Linked DNA regions of Oreochromis niloticus. The main gene of each other region encodes a partner of the protein of the gene in region 2 in a complex. Links are inferred from orthologs where the notes say so. Each region holds a gene or a part of one and is shown on either strand. Other genes may lie near its edges.

Region 1 (3,756 bases), on a different chromosome or scaffold from region 2:
GAGAGTTCAGGCTGTGTTGAAGAATGGCTACAGCTCTACAGTTTTCCAAAGTGATACCAGCAGTGCTTTTATTTTGTTAAACTGACAGTCTACAGCTCATAATGGTGAACAATAAATTAAATATTTATACATTTTCACATTTAGAGAAACTACAGTTACATAATTTGGGGTATTTTGCACGCGTTGCACCATAAAACAGTTAAAATACATTAATATTTTCTTTGTTTGGATGTAGTTTTGATCATGTTTATATTGCAAACATCTACGTTTTGTAAATGGAACACAGATAGTGTGAGACACAAGTAGTAGAATTTTAAAGTAACTACCCTGAGCAGGACAGAAAGAGCGACCTCTTGTGGATGAAATAGGCACTTCTGCAGATATCACTTCATAATTGTAACACTTAAACATCCACATGAGGATGGCCCTGCTTATATTATCGGAGCTACTGAGACCCTATCGTTGCAGATCACCTGGTCAAAGTCTGCTAAATGTCCCACGCTTTTACTTTAAAATCAGAGACGATCACGTTTTTGAGGCAATAGTGCCCAAACTTTGTAATAACCTTCAGCATTATGGTCACATTTTACCTGTTCTTACCTGATCAGCTGAATCCGTAATTTGTTTTAAACAACTGCCGAAAACATTTGTTATATATATTTTAGTGTTCTCTTAATGATTTCCCCATTATTCGGACCTTAGCTTGCATCTATTTGTGTGTAAGTTAAATATGTATGTTAGAATGGACGTCTGACCGGATGGTGTGTGGTGTCTAAAACCAGTGTTCTTTAAAAAGTGGTACACAAATAAAGTTATTATTGTTGATGTTATTGTTGTCGTCGGCGTTGTTGTTGTTTGTTCTTCCACTCTTCATTTATTCCCCTTTTTGTGTGGTATATGCTTAAAGTCTATGTTAAGGCATCAGTACTCAGCTAGTGTAATGCATTAACGGAAACAAGGCGAGAACTATTTTGGAGTCTTCTGTCGTCACTGAAGCTAATGACACCTTAACGCTGTCGACGAAGAAGAAAGGCGATCACGTGTCTGCCACGTGAACAGCTGATCGTGACGTCATTCACCAACAAGCAACATGGCGGAGTGGAACAGAGGTAAATGTTTTGACACGTATTCACTTCCAAATATTCAGTTGTGTGTTATTTGTGTCAGCTTAGAGATGATATTACAGCTGGGTGGTACATTTTAAAATGTTATTTTTGAGTATCGTTTGCTCGTATAATACCCAAATCTCAAGAGCTGAGTTTATAGGCTAACTAGCTCTGACATACTTAAAGATTAGCAAAAAGCAAGGCTACCTTGTAAGTTTCATATCAGTTGCTTTCGCCCACTAAAGAAGCATCTGCCTCTCTGAAGGGTGATAAAAAGTGATATTATTATCATTAGTATTATTATTATCATTATTATCTTATTAGTTTCCCAAATATGGGAGAACGAATACTCCTTGGCAGTGTTGTAAGTTTACTTCACGTCGTTATTCCGTGCTTAGCTTAAAGGGCTGGATATATAAAGAACATCCCTTCAGCAGAGACTCTGCACCACACTCCGATCATGCTGATATCAAAGTCATTGATGAAAAAGTGTTGCTTCCTGTTGATTTAAACCGAAAATTAGAAACATTATATATTCTTTAACAAGTTATGTGTTCAGAACTATGTGCATGGCAAAAACTGTATCTTCTGAGGTCTATCTGCGGTTTTCAACAGAAACATAACAATTCAAGGAACATTCAGATCTTGTGTGTCATATCTAATCCACGGTGTTTGTGCTTGTCCAGGCCATGGCTCTGTGGATGATGTGCTCGATGCTGAAAACAAACGGCTGGCAGAGAACCTGGCCAACAAAGTCTCCAGACTGAAATCTGTGCGTAACAACCAACAACCGTCCCCTTCAGCTACCAGTCTGATTAATAAATCAGCTGGTCTGTAGTTATTAGGTTACTGCTGTCAAATGTACTCAGTTTTAATTATAACTAAAGCTGTCAGTTCCAGGAATCAGAATTATTAATTATCCCAAACACAACCAGTTTTGTTATTTAATGTACTGATACATGGCTGATTGCTTGTAAGAATTTTAGCTGTAACCAAATGCATCACTGGTGTAATGGTTGTCTTTTATTAATAAATGTACAGTATTGTGGAAATGTGAAAATTGTACAACCAGTGCCTCCAGTGTAAGATGGGACACCATCAGGCACTTCTACATAGTTACATGATATTAAGATTTTCTTACACCAAGCTTCAGGCTCTTCCTGGTTCAGAACAATCCTCTGGGTATTCACTGTACACTAATGAAAACAACTTGTTTACATAGAGTCAAGGCAATTAGTCTGTCTACCATACATCTATAAAGATTACTGTTATTTCTTTAGACTGATTCAAAATTTCTATTTTGCTTAAATAAATGACTCATAATTGGTTTAAATCTTGTAGACATTGTCCCTGATTAAAACCTCTTTGGGGATCCAGAAAATATTTTATGCATGTTCACAGACTTTGACAAATGACTCGTGTCTGTTTTTAGCAAAGAGTTGTGTTTTAAATCCCTACAACGTCCTGTTTAGTTGGACATCTTCCAATCTGCACTTAAGCTGGTTAGGTACTAAGTGACAGAGCAACAGCCTAAAAGGATAACGGGTAACCAAGAAGATGTTTGCTTTCCTGTTCTACATTTTCCTCTGCTGTGCAATTCGCTTTTCAGAATCTGCTCTCATGTTCTTTCTTCTGCCTGTAATCTAACCCTGAGATGATGTAAAACTTCACTTGTTACAAATGATTGCTTATTAGTACATTTTTGCACAAGATTCCACATTTTAGGACATGATCAAAATAATCTAAAATAAAAAATAATAGTCCTTACAGGTTTCCAAATGGTTCAAATTCAGCCTCAGGTGAGCAAGAACATATGTCATTGGAATTAAGAGAGTAAGTAGCACCCGGGTGAAAGTGAGATGGCCTCCATAAAAGGAAACGTTTTGACAGTTTGCTGGTCTGCCGCAGTCAGACTTCTACAACTAACTTGATCATCTTCTTGTCTCTGTATCTCGCAGTTGGCTTACGACATCGACAGAGATGTGGACGATCAGAATGAGTACCTGGATGGCATGGTGAGCATTTCCTGCCTTAAACACAATTATAGTTAATCTTTTAGTAAAAAAGAACTGACATTTTAATTTCTCCCATTTGTCTATAAACAGAATATTGTTTTAAATATTCACTGATTTTCACCCTGTTCTATTTTCACGACAGCTCCTCTGAACTGTTTAGTGAAGTGTTTGACCATCGATCCACAGGTTTCACTGGGACCTAACATTCAGGAAAAATTTTATAGAGTCCCAGTATAAAAAATGAGCACTGTGTTGATTGTCAGAATCTGTGTGGATTGATACATTTGGTAAACAGAGTGCACATTATATAAGTACAAATTAATACTGTCGGCTGTTTTATTTTTTCTCTTAGGTTAATTTATTGTCAGTTATTAAAGAATTATCTCATCTTTCTTTTAGGACTCAAACTTCATGAGTGCGACAGGCCTGCTCACTGGCAGCGTGAAGCGTTTCTCCACCATGGTCCGATCAGGACGAGACAACCGCCGTATCCTGTGTTACGTCTCCATGGGGCTGGTCCTGGTCTTCTTTGTTCTTTACTACCTGGTATCCAAGATCCACCAATGACTGAGAAAACAAGATCAACCAGGCTCTGATATGGAGCTGAGACTTTAGACTGTAATGTCAAAACTGAT
Region 2 (3,756 bases):
CAGGAATATTTAGAACAAGCTCCTCATAAGACTTCCTGACTCAAAAAAGACTGAAACCTAGTATGCAAATAACCACCTGCTAAGAAACTGTCACAGTGACGGGATATTTCTCGTTTGCTTTAATGAAAAATTAAAGTGTGATTAGGGTTAATGAAACTAACGTGCATGTTCTGAGGCTGATTCTGTCTCCTTGCCAACAAGGAAAAAATGCGGAAATCAGCAGAGTATTTTTTTTTATGCCATCAACATGAACGGATGAAGTGCAAATACTTAGTTATGACCTACTTGTGTTTGTTGGGGTTAACGCTGTTCTAATGTTACCTGTACACTGCTCTTCATTTTAACATTAGCGGGTTTAAGAGTCATGAAGTTACAAGAGAAGTCAGTATGAAGATGTTTGTCGCTTTTCGTTGCAAAAAAACAAACAAACTTAAAAATACGAAACAGCCTCGTAAAAATGCGTTGGTCGTCTAAAACGTCAGTGAAATTGTCAAGAATGACTAAAAGTTTACTTGAGTTGCGTAAAAGTTTGAACTTTACCTTTCTCGTGACTTGTTTCTTGCGTCGATGTGCTTCCTGATTTTTTCCGTTGGCCACTCCTCCATCACATGATGTCTGCTGCACTCACAGCGAGATCGCAGCTGTTAATAAAAAGTGTCAAACGGTAACATAATGGAGCCCAGAAAAGTATGGAAACAAAAACTGTCCTTTTCTTAAAAATAGAGCAACGACGCAGTACAGGTTAGGTATTTCATGATCTTTCATTCTTGGTTACTTTTCGACTGTAGGCTACCAGGTGAGATGCTGGTTCCTGGGCAGGTGAGGGGTCCAAATCAGTTTTAAAAATGCTAGTTTACACTGGACAACATCAATGCTTCTAGTTAGTGTAAGAGCCATAAAAGTAAAAGGGATTATAATTCTGTTTAGGTCTTGGGTGTCAAACATGAGGCTCGGGGCCCAGAATCGGCCTCATAAATTGAATTCAAATTGAATTGAATACATTCCTTTTACATCGTGGGCCACATACAGCCAACTTTACAAAACCCCCTTTCTCTGAACGTAAAGACGTTTAATAGCACATTTATTCCCCTTTAATATAAGAAACAATTAGTGCAATTTCAACATCACACCTATGCCGTTTTTCTACATGGTAAAGTTGGCTGGTTGGTTTCCACAGTGTGTCTTTTGGCCTGTCTCCCTCCCATCATGCCCAGCTAGTCACTGCAGATGGCCTCCCCTTGTTGAGCCTGGTTCTGCCAGAGGTTTCTTCCTGTTAAATGGGAGTTTTTTATTCCCACTGTCACCAATTGCTTGCTCATAGAGGGTCATTTGATTGTAGCAGTTTTCTCTCTGTTATTGTAGGTTCTTTACCTTAAAATATAAAGCTACTTTTGATTTGGCATTAAGTAAAATTTAATTGCACTATGTGTGCAGAAATGTACACAACAATTTAAGTATGATTGTGTAAAGTGTGTCCATTTGCTTCAGTGTGTATGTATGTTACTAGTCTAGTTGATTCATAGGGTGTTCACTTCTATGTGCATGAGTTTCCAGTCCAGACCCTGAGTACTGAGCTTTCTGAGGCCTAATGGAAGAAACCGTTGCACTGACTGGAACTGAGGGCCTAGATGTTCTGGTACCTCTTGTGAGGTGGCAGGAGAGTAAAAGGTTTGCGTCAGGTGTGTGTGGGATCATACACAATGATGGTGGCTTTGTGAATACAGAGTTTGTGGGATATGACCTTGAAGGTGGGGAAAGAAACTGGTGATTCTTTCAGCTGTTTTCACTTTTCACTATTCACTGCAAGGATTTTGTGATCTGATACTGTACCGTTCCCATGTCAGATAGTTATGCAGCTGCTTGGGATACTCTTAATAGTCAACCCTGTATTGTCGTTAGGATGGATGGATGGACTTTTCTCACCTTCCACAGAAAATAGATGGACTGCTGGGCCTTCTCACCAGTGAATGTGGTGTTGAGGGACCCGGAGAGACCTAATTAACTCTTTGGTGGGGGGGGGGGTTCTGCAGCTAACATGGGTCATAACTGATTAACCACAACAATAAAACAACTGACAGATGAAATGAATACATTCATTATCTCTTCGCAATGCAGAGTTTTCATGGAAAACCTTGTGAATGTTACTTTTACAGGTGTCTATCCACCAAACAATTCTCTAGCACCCTCCAATGGCAGCATCCTCCTATTGCAGGACAGTGCATCTTGCCACCCCAAAAAACTGCTAAGAACAGCTAATTTGCATAAATCAAACTCCTCAGATCTCAATCTGAACATCCACGAATGAGCCAGAATAGACCAGATCCACAGTGGACACACCCACAAGACCAAAGGACCCATGTTCATGCATTAATAGCCCAGAAATGAACTGTGTACAAATGATGGATGTAACGTAAATGTGTCTGTCTCTAAAGCGCTTTGGGTCACCTTCTGTGGTTTAAATGTGCTATAGGCTATTTAAAAAATTGGCAGTGAGCTGCATACTGAACTCAGATAATAGAACAGTATTGATTCTATCATGCTAGTATCAATTCGATACCAATAGTCGCATTGGTAATGATATTATCTAATAGTTCCCAAAAAGAGTCAAAATGTCAAAAGTCAAAAAGAACAACAACATAGAATATCCTACTAGGTAGGCCTACCTTGTCTGAGAAATCACCACAATACTGTGAGTGTCCCTCAGTTGGATCAATCCCTTACATGTCACATCCACAGCAAGATGACAAAACACTCAGCTTGAGGTTACAACACAGCATTTGTGTGCAGTTAAAGGGCAGCACAAAGGCGACTTATAGCAACAACTGGTTTTAATGTTTTGCTGATATGTGCATTTGTTAAATTGTTTCCTTTAAGCTTGTACTGGACATTTTTTTAATAATATGCTACTTTAGACTTACATGCCACCATATTGCTGAAAGACATTTCTTTTTAATTTGCTACCCTTCTTTACATATAAAATGGGCTTTGCTTTCAGAATAATGCAGAATCTGGATTAAAATAGTATTACCTAACAGTTCACTTCCTAACACCACCTCAACTTTTTAAAATTGTAGTTATAATTTCGTCCTTGCTGTATTGTCCATGCAAAGTGCGGTCATTTACAAAACACATTATGATGTTACATAAAGCTACGAGACATGTTCTGTTTACCAGACAGCATTAGCACATCAAAGTTCACTCAGATTAACCAAATCAATAACACTCTTAACTTCTGTATCCAGTACAGACTCACTGGACTGTACTGCACTTTGTTAAGTGCAATGGTTTGACTGATTATTAAGGTAATTCTCTAATCAGCCAATCTCATGGCAGCAACTACATGCATAGACATGTAGTCCATATCTAAATGTACAGGCAGATAGCCAAGGCCAAGATGAACTAATGAAGTTCAAACCAAGGATCAGAATGGGGATGAAAGGTTATAGTGGCTTTGAACGTGTTGGTTGTTGGTGCCAGATGGGCTGGTCTGGCTCTTTTAGGAATTTCCCCACTCAGCCATCTCTAGTGTTTACAAAGAAAGGTCCAAAAAAGAGAAAAAAGACTGTTTCAAGATTATAGTAAGGCAACAGTAATTCAAATAACCACTGAACCTTGAAGCAGATGGGCTCCAGCAGCACACTGGATGCCACTCCTATCAACCAAGAACATAAAACTAAAGCTATGGTCAGCACCTTGTTGAGTCTGTGACACAAATAATTAAGGCAGTTCTGATGAAAAAAGGGGGCCCAACTTAGT

What was found. Proteins that work in one complex are often made in the same cells at the same time.
Region 1: syntaxin-7 (region 2) and bet1l share a complex: the UniProt entries of both Homo sapiens proteins name them as parts of the SNARE complex. The link is inferred for Oreochromis niloticus from reciprocal best matches to the Homo sapiens genes STX7 and BET1L.

Annotation. Positions count from the first base shown.
Region 1 is NC_031972.2:40,860,569-40,864,324, forward strand, and holds the start of bet1l (BET1-like protein), read left to right. Parts: upstream 1-984; 5' UTR 985-1,090; coding exon 1,091-1,109; intron 1,110-1,792; coding exon 1,793-1,878; intron 1,879-3,064; coding exon 3,065-3,121; intron 3,122-3,520; coding exon 3,521-3,688; 3' UTR 3,689-3,756. UniProt on the Homo sapiens protein: Vesicle SNARE required for targeting and fusion of retrograde transport vesicles with the Golgi complex. Required for the integrity of the Golgi complex.
Region 2 is NC_031980.2:5,913,675-5,917,430, reverse strand, and holds the start of syntaxin-7, read right to left. Parts: upstream 2,778-3,756; 5' UTR 2,664-2,777; intron 642-2,663; 5' UTR 541-641; intron 1-540. UniProt on the Homo sapiens protein: May be involved in protein trafficking from the plasma membrane to the early endosome (EE) as well as in homotypic fusion of endocytic organelles. Mediates the endocytic trafficking from early endosomes to late endosomes and lysosomes.